2 linked regions of the Pelodiscus sinensis genome follow. The protein of the gene in region 1 interacts with the protein of each later gene in a pairwise test. Links are inferred from orthologs where the notes say so. Each region holds a gene or a part of one and is shown on either strand. Other genes may lie near its edges.

Evidence for each region. The genes of interacting proteins can lie anywhere in the genome.
Region 2: the proteins of GFAP (region 1) and UBASH3A interact in binary tests that used the Homo sapiens proteins (3 or more experiments, as listed by UniProt). The link is inferred for Pelodiscus sinensis from reciprocal best matches to the Homo sapiens genes GFAP and UBASH3A.

The regions. Positions count from the first base shown.
Region 1 is NC_134739.1:200,957-208,626, forward strand, and holds the start of GFAP (glial fibrillary acidic protein), read right to left. Parts: upstream 3,486-7,670; 5' UTR 3,434-3,485; coding exon 2,919-3,433; intron 1-2,918.
Region 2 is NC_134711.1:190,493,359-190,501,912, forward strand, and holds the start of UBASH3A (ubiquitin-associated and SH3 domain-containing protein A), read left to right. Parts: upstream 1-5,406; 5' UTR 5,407-5,470; coding exon 5,471-5,583; intron 5,584-8,517; coding exon 8,518-8,554. Other genes in the region: TMPRSS3 (transmembrane protease serine 3), read right to left, coding at 1,960-2,104, 3,258-3,275. UniProt on the Homo sapiens protein: Interferes with CBL-mediated down-regulation and degradation of receptor-type tyrosine kinases. Promotes accumulation of activated target receptors, such as T-cell receptors, EGFR and PDGFRB, on the cell surface.

The DNA.
Region 1 (7,670 bases):
TGGGTGAGAGCTGGGCGTGTGTGTGTGTCTGGTGTGCGTGCGAGGGGGGCTGACTCGCCAGGGATGTCGCCCTTCACACCTCGGCTTGTGACCTGCTGGCTTTGTCCGCAGCGCAGGGTGTCACTAGTGCGTGCTGTCACACGTAGGCCCAGCGAGCCCCAGGCTGCCGGGACAGAGAGGGAGAGACGGCCCAGCCCAGACAGCTCACGGGCGCAAGAGACCAGAGGTAGCCTGAGGAAGGACGGACCCTCCACCTCACCGGAGCTCCAGAGACACCAGGGCCAGGGTTTTCAACGGGCCCTGAGCCAGGTTTTCAAGGGCTCAGCAAACACAGCGGAGGCCTGATTGGCTCAAGGGCTGAACTCACCATAAGCCGAACAGGAATCTGGCCCCCGTTGCGGGTGTTTGCCAGAGTCCCACCAAGGCTCGTGCGCCCCTGACGGTGAGCGCCGGGTGGGGGTGCTGGGTGCCCCGCCTGGGAGAGGTCGGAACAGACCCACCTTGTTTCTCATCCTGGATCGGGGCAAGAAAGGGCAAAAATGTCTCTCGCCCCAGTAACGTGACACGTGCCGAGGGCGCTTGGTCCGGTTTGTTTCAGTTCTGTCCTTTTTATGTCTTAACCTGTTACAGAAGCTGTTGTGGAACCTGGAGAGCACCAGGCGCTCCCCGCCAAAGTGGAAATGCAGCAATGGGCTGTTTCGGCCATTCCCAAACTACTGCGCCCGAACCCAGCGATGCGTCCCCACCGTCCCTCCCCGGACAGCTCCGCTTCGACCAATCAGAGCTCTCTGACGAACAGAACTGCACGGGGCACCTCCCACCGAGGTCTCGCCAGCAGCAACAATCGTGAGCCCTTCCCCAGTGCAACGAAAACGAGCGTGTCTGTAGCTCCCTGCAGCGCTAGGACTCTGCAATTACCCCTCCAGCGCAGCAAATAGCCTCTTGCCCGAGGGTGGGCAAGATAAAGCCCATGGCTGGATCCAGGCCGACAGCCCTTGTAATCGCCCCCCCCCCCCCCCCGGGCAGGTAGCAGCGCTGCTCAAAGTGACTGGCTGCTCCCTGTGGCTTCTGTGCTGTGGTGGGGGAGGCTTCGTGCGATCCCTGCCCGCAGCAAATCGCTCACCCTCCATCGGCCAGTGGAGCTGAGAGATTTTGCTGGGGGCAGAGGCACTGTGTGAAGCCCCCCCCGCACAGAGAGCCACTTGGCACAGAGCGGTCAGGGGCTGCTTAAGTAAGTGTCCCCCCACCAGAGCCTGCCTCTGGCACCGCACCCCCTCCCACACCCCAACTCCCTCCCAGACCCTGAACCCCCTCTCGCACCCCTCCCCCAGGCCAGAATCCTCTCCTGTGGCCAGAGCTCCTCCCAGACCCTGCACCCCAATCCCCTGTCCCAGGCTGAACCCTAAGCTCCCTTCTGCACCCAGCCTCCACCCCGATCCCGCACCCCATCCGTAGACAAGCGCGGCTCTTGATCCCTCACCAAAATCTTGGCGTGGCCCCGTCGAGAGTTACTGCCCAGCCCAGCTCTTGCCCACAGTGAGTGGTGAGGACCCAGCAGTTACGACTCCAAGCCCCTGCTGCCTGCACCTAGACCCCGTCCTCTCTCCAAGCAGAACTCAGGAGTCATGATTTTCCATGTGCTGTCAGAGCACTCTCCCCTCCCAGCACGGCAACTGGGATCCTGAAAGTCAAACTCCCCTCCATTGCACTAACCATTAGACAACACTGCCTCTAGAAAGAGCCAGCAACCCCCACAAGCAAACCTCTGTCTGAGGCTGGCGAACCGTCACCTCTTCGGCCACCCTCCCACATTCTGCCATCTGGCTCCCAGGTTAAGGTCGTTTCTGGTGTCTCGACCCGTGTGGGTTGTGCCAGGAACGGTGCACGTCTCTCACCACCGGCGCACGAGAGGTCGGAGTGTGAGCCAGGCTACGCAGGCCCGGGGCTGCCACGCTCGTGCCCCCCTGAGGCCTGGGCCAGCTGCCGCCCTGCAATCCAGCTGCTAGTGCAGGCACAGACGTGTGCCAGGCAACGTGTACAGGCCCATCTGGTGCGGGCACACGGGGCCGTGCGGGTGTGGGCAGCGTAATCTCTCACCAGTGGGCCGGTCGGTTACCGGGGCGGAGTTGGCTCCACTGAGCTCTCCCCACCCGCAGAGCCCGTCCAAAGCCACCCGCCGGGGCAGCTGGGCGCAGAGCGGGGACGTGACTGGCCAGCAGGTGAATGGCAGAGGTGGGCTCCAGCTGGCATAATAACCACCGGTCCCTGCACCCTGTCTCCCCGCTAAAACAGCCCTGCACCCCCCCTTCCTCTTAACGCCCGGCCCCTGCACCCCCGCCTCCCCACTAACTGGGCCCCTGCACCCCCCTTCCTCTTAACGCCCGGCCCCTGCACCCCCCTTCCTCTTAACGCCCGGCCCCTGCACCCCCGCCTCCCCGCTAACTGGGCCCCTGCACCCCCCTTCCTCTTAACGCCCGGCCCCTGCACCCCCCTTCCTCTTAACGCCTGGCCCCTGCACCCCCGCCTCCCCGCTAACTGGGCCCCTGCACCCCCCTTCCTCTTAACGCCCGGCCCCTGCACCCCCCTTCCTCTTAACGCCCGGCCCCTGCACCCCCCTTCCTCTTAACGCCTGGCCCCTGCACCCCCGCCTCCCCGCTAACTGGGCCCCTGCACCCCCCTTCCTCTTAACGCCCGGCCCCTGCACCCCCCTTCCTCTTAACGCCTGGCCCCTGCACCCCCGCCTTCCCGCTAATCCAGTCCCTGCTCCCCCTGCCTTCATGCCCACACCCAGGGTCCCCCCAGAACTGCAGCTACTCCGCGTTAGTCGCTGCCCTCGCGGCGAAGCCTGGTTACCACCGGGCCGTTCCCCGCGCCCGCTCCGGCTGCAGAGCCGTCGGCCCGTCCAGGCGGCTCCTTACTTCTGCCGGAGGCCGTTGGTGTCCTCCAGCAGGTTGTCCCGCTCAATCTCCAGCCGGGTCTTGGCATTGGACAGCTGGTCCACCTGCCGGCGCAGCTCCCTCAGCTCCTCCTGGTAGATGTCGGCCAGCTTGGTGGGCTCCTTGTCCCGGATCTGGTTGAGCTCCGCCGCCAGCACCTTGTTCTGCTGCTCCAGGAAGCGCACCTTCTCGATGTAGCTGGCGAAGCGATCGTTCAGCTCCATCATCTCCACCTTCTCGTTGGTGCGCGTCTCCTTGAACTCGGAGTTGAGCGCCTCGGCCAGGGAGAAGTCTGCCTTGCCCGGGGGGACCCTGGAGCTGGCCTGGATGCTCAGGCTCGAGCTCCTCCTCTTGGTCATGGAGACTCGGGGGCTGGGGCTGGGGGAGAGGAGCCACATGAGGGGCGAGGCCCGGAGGGGCTGGTGGCCGGCAGCAGCCTGCGGGCCGAAGCGGCGCCGGTAGGAGGACAGGCGCTGGCTCTCCATCCTCAGGCTCATCCTCCCGGCTGTGCCTGAGCCGGGGCCAGCCTGGGAACTCTCCCTGTGCAGCCGGGTTTATAGAGGACCAGCCCGGGGGCGGGCGGAGGTGGCGTTGTGAGCCAGGTCCTAGAGCCCGCCGTGTACCAGGCCAACTGCCCAGGCCCCTGGCAGGGGAACAAAGGACGGCAGAGCAGGCAGAACGCCTCGGCTATTGCTTTGGGCCAGGAGAACAAACGCGGAAGGACCTGCCCCTGCCCCTGCTCCCGGAGCCCCGGCCCCTCTGGTGGGCGGGCACCAGCTTCCCATGAACTCATTTCGTGGCTGCGTGTTCCTGGCAGGCGGCTGCGGCAGGGGACAGCCTGGCCTGCCCGTGCCCCTTCCCAGCATCCCAGAGACTGGCAGGAGTGACCGCAGCCTTTCCTGTAAGCACAGGGCGTGCCAGGCACCGCAGCCAGGCCCCGGGACACAGCAGCGCTCCCCGGGCAAAGGAACGTACAAGGGATGTGTGTGCAAGGGCACGTCAGCAGGGCTCCCCGGGCAAAGGAGGGTGCAAGGGACGGGTGTACAAAGGGCATGTCAGTAGGGCTCCCCTGTGAAAGGAGTGTGCATGGGACGGGTGTTTAAAGGGCACGTCAGCAGGGCTCCCCGGGCAAAGGAGGGTGCAAGGGATGTGTGTGCAAAGGGCACGTCAGCAGGGCTCCGCGGAGAAAGGAGTGTGCAAGGGACAGGTGTACAAAGGGCACGTCAGCAGGGCTCCCCGGGAAAAGAAGTGTGCAAGGGACGGGTGTACAAAGGGCATGTCAGCAGGGCTCCCCGGGCAAAGGAGTGTGCAAGGGACGGGTGTACAAAGGGCACGTCAGCAGGGCTCCGTGGGGAAAGGAGTGTGCAAGGAACGGGTGTACAAAGGGCACGTCAGCAGGGCTCCCCGGGCAAAGGAGTGTGCAAGGGACGGGTGTACAAAGGGCACGTCAGCAGGGCTCCCCGGGCAAAGGAGTGTGCAAGGGACGGGTGTACAAAGGGCACGTCAGCAGGGCTCCGTGGGGAAAGGAGTGTGCAAGGAACGGGTGTACAAAGGGCACGTCAGCAGGGCTCCCCGGGCAAAGGAGTGTGCAAGGGACGGGTGTACAAAGGGCACGTCAGCAGGGCTCCGTGGGGAAAGGAGTGTGCAAGGAACGGGTGTACAAAGGGCACGTCAGCAGGGCTCCCCGGGCAAAGGAGTGTGCAAGGGACGGGTGTACAAAGGGCACGTCAGCAGGGCTCCCCGGGCAAAGGAGTGTGCAAGGGACGGATGTACAAAGGGCACGTCAGCAGGGCTCCCCGGGCAAAGGAGTGTGCAAGGGACGGGTGTACAAAGGGCACGTCAGCAGGGCTCCCCGGGGAAAGGAGTGTGCGAGGGACGGGTGTACAAAGGGCACGTCAGCAGGGCTCCCCGGGGAAAGGAGTGTGCAAGGGACGGATGTACAAAGGGCACGTCAGCAGGGCTCCCCGGGGTAAGAAGTGTGCGAGGGACGTGTGTGCAGGGGGTACACGTGGCTGTGCGAGGGGTGGATGTGGTTTTGTAGGGGGATGGGAAGGGTGAGCATATGTCCGGGATGTGAGGGCTGTGTGTGGGTGTGTGAGTGTGTACAAAGGGTGTGCACGCTGTGCACGTGTGTGCAAACTGAGTGTGTGTGGATTGTCCTCGGGATGTGTTTGCTTCCAGGGGGCGACGCCAGCGCCAGTGAGATGGGCCCTGCTCCTGCCTGCCCCCCGCCCTGCCCAGTGCCAGCTCTGCGCGGCCGTCCCGGCGGCTCCCCGCCAAAGCGACCGGAGCACAGAACTTGGCTTTGTCTTGACTAGAAAGAGTCTTTGAAGTGTCCAAGCCGCGCCAGAAGCTAATTACGAGACTCCCGCTCCGTGTCGCTGGGAGCTCTGGGCTTGGCTGCCAGCCCAGCGGCTCTGGGAACGCTGCGGAGACGTGCGGCTGCTCCCGGTTCTCCCCGGGATGCTGCCGGGCCCAGCAGGGCGAGCCGGGCGGCGCTCAGGGCTCCGGGGCCCTGTTCCCAGGCCGGGAGGAGCGCTGGCGGGCGGAGCAGGGCTGGGGGCAGGCCCTGCGGTGCCCGGGCCTGAGAGCAGGTAATTGTGGTGGCCGCACGCTGGGCGCCCTCGGTGCCAGCTCAGCACAAGGACCAAAGCTGCATGGGAGGCGGCAGGCCACCAGCCAAGGACGCCGAGTGCCCGAGGCGCCGGAAGGAGGGTCCTTGGCGGGGCTCCCGCCACCAGGCCCTTCCAGCTCACACTGGGGCTGGGCTTAGTCAGGACGAATTTGGGAGGGGGCCAGAGACGTTCTGGCCACTTGTCCCCTTCCCGTCTCTTGTGGGCTCTTCCTGGCCCCGGGGGTGGGAGTTGGGGGCTCTCCGGGCGGCCCAGGGCCTGGGCTCCCCCACTGCCAGCCGGCGGCGCCCTGTGCCTGGCCGACAGGGACATGGTGCGCCGGGAGCTGAGCTGAGCTGGCCTCCCGTGAGCTCTGCGAGGACCCAGCGGCGGCAATGCACACGCTCCTGCCCCGCCCCTTCCCTGAGGCCCCGCCCCTTCCCAGAGACCCTGCCCCGCCCCCTTCCAGAGGCCCCACCCCCTCCCTCACTTTCACCAGGCTGGGACCGGGGGTGCAGGGAGCAGGCTCTGGCCGGGCGGCAATTACCTCAGGCAGCCCCTGGGTGTTGGAGCCGCAGGGTCCCTGCCTGCCCTGGCCCTGCGCCGCGCCCGGAAGCTTCCAGCATGTCCCTGTGTCCCCGGGGGGGGTCGCGCTGCACGCTGCCCACACCCGCAAGCGCCGCTCCCAGTGGCTGCACTCCCGGCCAATGGGAGCTGCGGGGCTGGGGCTGGAGGCGGGGCCAGCGTGCAGAGTCACCTCCCTCCGCCAATCTGACCGGGGTTCAATTCCTTCCCAGCCCCAAACATGGCAGCCAGACCCTGAGCAGTGGGACAGACCCACCAGGCAGGCCTGGGCGAGAGCCCCGTGCAGAGCCGCAGAGCCCTCCCCGGCCGGCCTGGCTCCCGCCGGTCGCTGATCCCCGTGGCTGGGGCCACGTGCCTGGTCAGCAGCCTCCTCTTCCCGGCCCCCAGGCACGCGGCCAGCTCCGGCTTGGGCCAGAGACCGGCTTCGCGCCACGGACGGGCACAAACCGCCCTCCCGTTTCACGCCTGGACATCTACCACCGGGGCGACTGGTGAGAGGGGGATGGGACACTGGCCCCACCCCCCTCAACACCACGCCTGGCCCCTGCTCCCCCCTCTCCCCACCTCCTCCCACCCCTGCTTCCCCCTCTTCCCGCCCCTACTCCCGCCTCCCCCCACTCCTGCTCCTCCCCTGCTCCCCCCTCTTCCCGCCTCCTCCCACCCGTGCTTCCCCCTCTTCCCGCCCCTACTCCCGCCTCCCCCCACTCCTGCTCCCCCCTGCTCCCCCCTCTTCCCGCCCCTACTCCTGCCTCTTCCCGCCCCTGCTCCCGCCTCCCCCCACTCCTGCTCCCCCCTGCTCCCCCCTCTTCCCGCCCCTACTCCTGCCTCTTCCCGCCCCTGCTCCCGCCTCCCCCCACTCCTGCTCCCCCCTGCTCCCCCCTCTTCCCGCCTCCTCCCACCCCTGCTCCCCCCTCTTCCCGCCTCCTCCCACCTCTGCTCCCCCCTCTTCCCACCCCTGCTTCCCCCTCTTCCCGCCCCTGCTCCCGCCTCCCTCCACTCCTGCTCCCCCCCTGCTCCCCCTTCTTCCCGCCTCCTCCCACCTCTGCTCTCTGCCTTGTCTCATCCCTGCTCGCCCACTCCCTACCTCTGCTCCCACCCCTTCCTGAGTGATGCAGCCTGAGTGGGTCCAGGGCCCAGGGCTGGGATCTGCCCCCACCCTCACCAGCCACAGCCACTGAGCCCCTCTGGCCCCTCCTGCGGCCACCTGGCTCTGCCCCCTGCCGGCCAGAGAGTGGGGGGGCAGACCCCTGCTGAGAATGCCAGGCCCCTCACTAGTCCCCGGGCCACCCCCCTCTGCCCCACATGGGAGAACCCTCGAGTCGCCCTGTCGGCCCCCAATGCCACGAGCCCCTCTCCCTCCCCGAGTGAGCCGAGAGCTCTGGTCCCCCCCCCCATCGCCTGGTCCAGGTCCCGGCGCCTCATCGCCCCTCGGCCCCTCGGCCCCCGGCCCAGCTCCAGTTCCTCTTCAGCCTCCTCCCCCCACCCCAGCTGGAAATAGCAGAGCCCCTGCTCTGCCCCCCCCCCCCCCGCTGCCTGG
Region 2 (8,554 bases), on another chromosome or scaffold:
CAAAGAATAATCAAAGAATGAATGGCTGAGTGTCATTTTTATGAAAACTACTGCCAACAAATGTCTTTAGAATCTCTCCTCTATCAACTCAGTATTTCTGGTGCTCGCTGTTATTGTCATCTCTGGCTAGATGCTACATTGTGTGCTGTATTCAGGACAACTGAACTCCAGTGAAAAGGAAGGATCGGTTATGGCTCCACTTGTCACAGTGAAGAAGTAAATCTAGCAGCAGCATACTGCAGCCCATAACACTTGAAGAATAAAGATGTAGAGTGAAATACTAGAAGTGAATATGAGATGCTAAAGATTGAAACAGTGGCAGGGCAGAACCAAGAGAAGGACAAAATTGGCCTGTGTTTTGTAAGAGATTATAGGGTACGTCTAGACTACATGCCTCTGGCGACAGAGGCATGTAGATTAGGCTACCCGACAGAGTAAAATGAAGCGGTGATTTAAATAATCGCCGCTTCATTTAAATTTACATGGCTGCCGTGGTGAGCCGACAAACAGCTGATCAGCTGTTTGTCGGCTCAGCGTGATAGTCTGGACGCTCCCCTGCCGACATCAAAGGGAGTTGTCGACAACCCAGGTATGCCTCATCCCAGGAGGCATACCTGGGTTGTCGACAACTCCCTTTGATGTCGGCAGGACAGGTCCATGTATATAAGAGGTGGCAGAAGAAAGCACAAGTCCAAGGCAAGAAGAAAGCTCTAGAATTTTGCTTTGGCAGCAAGGCTAATTGGAACGATAATATTGGAAATATGGTTATAGAAAACTGAAGGCCAAAATTAGAGGTGATTGTTGGGCCTAATTGAGCTGGGCAAAGTCACGCAGAAAATCAATGGAAGAGGCAGTCCTCTGAAATAGATTAAAGAACAGGAACCCACATTAGTGGATCAAAAAGAAAGACAATGGGTTGCACAGAAAATAATGAATGGTTTCTGTAAAAAAATTATTCTGGTTCGATATATCAACGCCAAATTAAGAGAAAATTGAGTGTGAAACTCATCCATTTGCATATCTAGGAGGTCTTCAGTTTTGATTCATCCACTCTATCCCTGAACTTACCTTTGAATTTTGGATTTGCAAAAACTTGAAGCTCAGACAAAACTTCTGAGTTTCACCCAGTTTCATGTAAAATTGCAAACAGTGGAAATTGAGTGGGTCTCTTAGGGTGCGTCTACACTGCACTGTTATTTCGAAATAACTAGCGTTAATTTGAAATCATAATGCGAGCATCTACACAGCCATTCTGTTATTTTGAAATAATTTCGTAATGACAGATGGCTTATTCCAAAATCTGTAAACCTCATTCTACAGGGAATAACACCTATTCCACAACAGCTTATTTTGACATAAGCGTGCAGTGTAGATGTACCCTGAGACAAACAAAATGTGAAATCAGCTAAATTTTGTCTGGCTTCAGGTGTCATGATTAATATTTTGCAGAGCTATAGTAGTTAAACAGTCTGTATAAATTAATATCACGTTATCTGACCTTGGGTCTGATTCTGTTCTCATTGAAACTACCGTGTGTTTTGTCCCTTGTTTCAATGGGAACAAGGTCAGGCTACAGAATATAACCAACCTGCCTATTGTGCTATCCCTGATCGATATTGCCTGTTTCTAATGATATGGATTTCCAGATTTGGAAGGTTTCAGGTCAAACATTCAAAATTGTGTCATATCTTAAGTAAGAAACAAATCATCTACTACCTGGTTGAAGCTGTATCAATAATGAAACTTTGCAAAAATATCATGGAAACATATCCGCCCAGGCAAAAAAAGTCCTTACCCATTCGTACCCTGATGAAGCTAGTGAAAAAATAAGTGCTTCTTTTCTCAGTAATGAAAAAAATTACCCACAGTGTTTGTGTAAGAATAGTTTTGCAAGGGAAATGTACACATTACAAAGAAACAAAAAAACCAAACCAAAACAAAAAAAGGCAAAATCCCTACCGTGTTCACTTGCACTGGGATCTACTTTTGCTTGTTGTATGCTGAGAAATCTTTTGTAGAAAAAATTAACTTCAGGTACTGGCAATTTGTCTTCTGTAACAGAGGTGATTTCAAGATTTGCAGTATTGGGATTTGTCTCCAGTACCTGGCTCCACAAAGAACAGAAGTCAGTTTTAAAACCAACTATTCTTTTGGACCATACCACTCCAATGCCTTTCTACTGGTGATGATTTTATTCTATTTTGTTTTTTGTTGAGGGGCTCTGCTTTTAGCACATTTTTGGAATGAACAGCTGATACAAAGCAAATCCATGGACAGCTTTCAGGCTTTTTCTCTGTTTGCTTAAAAATGGCTTCATCCTGAAAAATGCTGAGCAGCTTCAGTGCATTACTGAGAAGCTCATGCAATTCCCATTGACTTCAGTGAGAGTCAGGGCACTCAGCAAATTGCACAAATTGATCCCTAATTAGCAAACATTAACCAGGAATTTACTGAAACTAAAATGTTGCTCAGGTCTGCCTATAACCACAGTTATTTAGAGTAATTCATTCACCACATCAAGAAATTCTGACAAGTTCCTTCTTTAAACGTCAAAGCATTTTCTTTTCTACAGGATGCTTTTTAATTGCTACTGTTAAGTAAAAGGAAGTACAAGTTATGAACTGTGCAAAGCCTGTTCTGATCTGACTTCCCAGTTAGCTTATGCTGAAGAATTTTTGCATCTTGTATGCCTATCACAAACTGAAAATAAAATGCTAAAATATAGTTCTGGGTAAATAAGCCTTACATTTTAAAATGTAGGGACATGAAGGGATAGGATAGAGAAAACTTTGGCATCTGCTCTAACAATCAAATGATACAGTGGGTCTGATTCTGCACTCACACTGATGTAATCAGGAGTAATTGTATTAAAGTCTGAGGAGCTAGTATGCTATTAATCTAAAATATCAGGCCCAGGAAATGTTTACCTTAGACAAAGCATAGTTCTTGTTTGACAGCATTTTTAAGAAACAGAATATCTTTTCACCATCCAGCAAGCATTACTTACCCAAATAAAACCTTTCTCTCATTCTATCAGATATAGCATACATTCCTGGTGAGTAAACATTTCAAGAGATATTATATAACTGCTGTTTTAGTGCAGAAATAAGGAAAAAGCATCTTACTGCAAATGGTTTCTGAACATAAAGAATACCTTCATTGTTCCATGTTCTGGAAATAAACAGTATTAAGAAGCATGACATACAGTTACAGAATAATAGAGATTGTTATTTCCTCTGTCCTAGGTTGTTACTCACCTCTTCTTGAGAAGCCATGGTTAAAAACAAAAATATGTTCTCTTTTCATTATAGTAATAAGCCAGATGGAAATCTAGCTGTTGTTCAACCAGTCCACTCAGGAAATATTTTCATCAAACCACCCAGAACTGCCAGCTCAACCACTGTAGCAAACGACATTATTACTGTAGTCTGTGTAATTCAACCTGATCGTTGATATCAGGTAGCCTACATGACTATGCATAGCAGGAAGGCAAAGAATCAGCAACCTTTTTAATCAGTGTAATCAGGTAAGGTAATATTGTGGTTCTTTTCGTGAACCTGTCTGAGAGGGAAACTCTCCAAACATGGAGTCATAGGTGTGCTTACCTGTTCCATTTTTCCTAAATAAAGTGGCTGGAGAAAAGCATGCGCCAGAATTCTGGGCTCTGGCGAATGAGCCCCTCAAAGCTAGTTAGTCTGGCAAACCAGGCCCTTCACCTAGTTGCATAGCTCTGTGTGAATTTTGTGTGGTTTTTGCCAAATGCATCCGCCAGGCACAATGTTGAGTTTGGGTTCAGTTAGAGGCAGAAGTGAAATCAGAATTGGCTTATCTATGCCTGGAAATGACTGATATTTCCATTTCCCCCATTTTTTTCCTGGGGTACTGAGAGAAATTGTTCATTTGCTCCGCAGCTGCCCTGAGCTCAGCCTTGGAAAACCTAGGTTTGATTCCCCACTATGCCTGAGGGAAGGCTGTTAGGGAGCAAGTCACAATTCCCTGATTCTCAGCCCCGAGGACCTGACTTAAGTTCAAGTTTCCACTCCAGGGTGAGATGTGGAGGCATCTTTAAGGGTGTGTCTAGACTACATGCCTCCATCGACGGAGGCATGTAGATTAGACAGATCGGCAGAGGGAAATGAAGCCGCGATTTAAATAATCGCGGCTTCATTTAAATTTAAATGGCCGCCCCGCTCTGCCGATCAGCTGTTTGTCGGCAGATCGGGGCAGTCTGGATGCGCGGTCAACAAAGAAGCCTCATGAAAGAAGGCTTTTTTGTCGACCGCGGCGCATCCAGACTGCCCCGATCTGCCGACAAACAGCTGATCGGCAGAGCGGGGCGGCCATTTAAATTTAAATGAAGCCGCAATTATTTAAATAGCCAGGAGCAGATCTGGCTCCTGAGAGGAGGGAGGACATAGAACTCCATGTGCTGTCCCTACCCTGACCAATTCCTGGCCAATGGGAACTGGTTGGGGGTGCCTGTACCTATGGACAAAGAGCAGTGTGCAGAGCTGCTTTTATGCCTCTGCCTAGGAGCCAGACCAGCTTCTGGCCACTTCTGGGGCACAGCATGGTCCACAGTGCCCGAAGAGGCAGGAAGCTTGCACTAGCAGCCCCACTGTGCTGCTGACCACGAGCCACTGGAAGTAAGCCCATGTCCAACCATGAGCATCAACCCCTTGCCCCCACCCTGAGCCCCACCCCAACCTGGAGCCCCCTCCTATAACCCAGGCTCCTCATTCCTGGCCCCTTCCCAGAGCCCGCACTCTAGTCAAAAGAGATAATTATGTTGGGTCCCAAGCATCAGCAATTTTCTTCAACTGGGTCACAAGAAAAAAAGTTTGAAAACCACTGATCTATGTGCTTCAAACCTGGCTTGGGGGGGGGGGGGGTACCTTAAAGGAGAAATTATATTTCCTCCTCCATGCTCATTTCATTCTTGGCTTCTATGATGGGGAAGCCGAGAAGGGACCTAGCTGTGGTGCTAGCTTTGTGAGGCAGAAATCTGTCTGCTAAGAACCTGGCTCAGACCACCAATTGATTTCACGTACACCACAGAACAACCTATGCCTGACACCAGTTCACACTCACTGACTCGTTACTGCTTTGGGGTGCATTTAAAATGGTGATCTGAAAGGAAGAGATTCAGTGCCCTGATAGTAGCAATGTGCACTGACTGTGCACTCTGTTGTGCTGTGGACATGTACTGGGTTAGTCCGATTTTACTACAACCTATGGCAGGCATAGGAAGACTGCATATTTTTCTTGCTTTTCAACCACCCTAAAATAAAAATGCAAAGACTAACATGCTGTGCAAACAGGATATCAGCGTTTCTCAAAAAGATCACAAGGGGTTTGAGGTTTTTTATCTTAGCTGCCTCTCTCTCTCTCTCTGTCTCTCTCTCTCTTTCTCTCTCTCTCTCTACTAATTTCTGCCTGTACTGAACTTACATTCACAGGAGTGGAAGAGATGGCAGTGGCTGAAACACAACTATATTCGAAGGTCTTGAACAAAGTCAAAAAGAGAAGCAGCTGTGCTGTACTAGAATCCCTCTTATCTATGGGATTCCCTGCACATACAGCGTGAGTAGCATTAAGTTACCTGAAGATATTAAAATAATTTTCTCATAAAAATTTGAGCACAGCTTGCATTTTTAACAGAGAAAACAGGCATCTGCTTGACAGGGATGTTTCTGTATATAGATAAGATCTCCTAGTCTATGCCTCTTTTATAGCATTTTTGGGGTGTTGATCTAAACCTAAAAAGAACCTATTGTGCATCCATTTTTATATCTAAGATCTAATAACTATCCACTTTTCAGGTTGAGAGATTGTAAAACGTGTTAAACACTTGACATGAACAGTAATCTCCCACAGTATTACCTACAACAGGTCATATTTTTCATTAATCACTTTTGCTGTAATGCAGGTAAGTTTAAAGATACCTTATAGCTTATACTGGATTCTACGACATAGCAAAGACATCTTACCGTATGTAGGATTTTGGAGACAGGGTTTACTTTTCACAAGGCATAGTTTTTCTGTTTATAAATAGCATCTAAACCTATTCAACGTGATTGTCATTTTTACTTTTTTTAAACCCATAAAGTATTTATCTTAGTTTAAGATCATGTTAAAAATTAAATGCCAATGAGGGGCCATCTTTTCAGAATTGAGCGCTGTGTTGTAAAGTCTTCAAATCGTCTTTAAAACATGTTGCTGCTACTGGTGGATGTATGCCTGTTTTTTTTAAAGTAAAGGTAACAGAGCACGGAGCAGGTCTGGATAAAATTTAAAAAGTCACCGGGATTTTTGCTTAAAATTTGAACTGAACAACTTTCTGAGTTTAGACATTTTAGCGCAAGTTTGCAGTTCCTGATTTCAGCCATGACTAACTTTCCTGGCCTGGCCAAAACCAGCTTGTGAGGGAAATAATCGTAGGATAGCCCGATCTTGCATGGTTTAGAGCTGTAGAGCCAGAGTCTCTTTTTAAACACTAAGCCCCAGTTGCATCGGAGCAGTTTAAAGGTACCTTAGTGTAAATGGGAATCACATAGAATCTCATCAACACACTAACCCCCAACTCTTGGCTTGCACAGTACTAATTGTTATTAGCTTTTCCAGACAGTGATCTGGTAGTTTGTTTTACTTATAAAACAGTATTTTCAATATATATATATATATATATATATATATATATGAACTCTTCTGCTTTCTGTTTGAGAGATCTTTGTAGACCTAGGATCCATTTTTGCATTACATTGCCTTATTGTCTGTTATTTGTTTGGAAGAAGTGCATAAGAACCCCAGTCGTAGGCTAGGATACCGCTATGCAAGCCACGATACAAACACAAATGAAAACGTAGTCACTGCCTTGAAAAGCTTACAGTCCAAAAACGAGTTGAGGCAACAGGTAGATACAGACTGACACAAGGAAATAATGGAGCAATGATGACTGGTATGATAGGCAGAGGTCTCTGCTCCCCAGCTGCCTAGCTATTGCCAAGTTTATTTATAGGCCTAATGGCAAAGGGTAGTTTTAAGGAAGTAAATAAAGGAGGATCAATGACTTGGCTTTGTTGTTGTTGGCCAGGAGCTCTTGCCAAGATTCAGGGGTTTCATGGGAGAAAGCACAAAAACTCTTTTGAAAATGTAATCTGTGGGTGGATGGAGGTTGGCATTGGCAAAGAGAAGGCAGGAAGTGACCTATTACTAGTGTATGGGAGATAATAGTTAGAGAAGGGATGGATTGTGAAGGGCCTTGGAAGTGAAAACAAGCTGCTTGTGTGTGATGCTGTGGAGAAAGGGAAGCCAGTGGAAGAAGGCAGAGAGAGAACTGACATGTGCAAAGTAACCAGCTAGGGAAATAGTCTTAACCAGCAGCATCCTGCATTGATACGAAAGGGGTATGATTGCAACCATCATGCCTAGATGTTGCAGTAATCAAGGTACACTATGATGAGCGCTTGAGTGAGAATTTTAGCCATGAGGAGGGACAAGAAAGGCCATACAATAGAGAGGTTTTGCAGAAAGAATCTGCAAAATTTGCACATAGGATATAAGGAGAGGTCTGAGTCAAACCTAACCCCCAGTTTATAGGTCTGAGTGACAGGAAGAATTGTGGTGGTGTCCTCAGTGCTCAAGAACGTAAGCAGTGGGGAGGGCAAGAGGGAAAGATTAAGGGTTGTATTTTGGCCATGTTGAGCCTTCAGTAATAAAAAGACATGGCCTGTCCTAAGTAAGAAAAGCGTGTCATTATGTATTTACAAGTCCACATACACTTTGCTCCCTGGCGAGAGGAAGCCAGAAAGAAGCACATGAGACAAATACATGTTGCTTAATGCACTGCCAGAAGGTGCACAGATACTGCAAAGATGGATGCCGTATAAGAACTTGAACAGAAGGGAATTAAATGTACAAATTTAAGTTCAAGGCCCCAGCAGGCAGAACATATTGTTCAATGTGCATCAAAAATTGTCTCTTGGGTATTGCAAAAGAAACAGAAGAGTAATAGTGAGTTTTAGAAATGTGTCCAAGTTGAAATGTCCAGCTTCCTCTTCCTCTACTGGACTTCTCCCCATCTCCACCACTCCAAGAAACTCCACTCTCGGTCTCAAAGATGTGTATGTATAGGTACATACTGCTCTCAAAACTGAATTTGGCATAATTTGGTTCCATAGAACAGTAATTACGTATTAGACATGACCTGAACCAAATTCCCTGAATTTGTAGCTCAAATTTGTCTCGCCCATAGGCAGAATCCAAACAATAAATCCTTTGGGAAAATGTGGATCCAGATTCTAAATATAAGAGTGTTTGGATCTCAGGTTCTGATTTGCTTCGATAGTGCTTACACTTGGGATTTTGTTTGGCCGCATCTTTAATAATAATGTGGGCCTATATGACGCATGCTTCTGCAGTGTATTAAAGAAAAGTCTCCAGACCTCAAGGGAGAATTTATCATTTATCTTGCTGCGTCTATTCTTTCTCATTGTGATTCCACTTTATTTTTCTTAGGAATAAAGCTTTGGCTGCTACAGGACACAAGACAGTA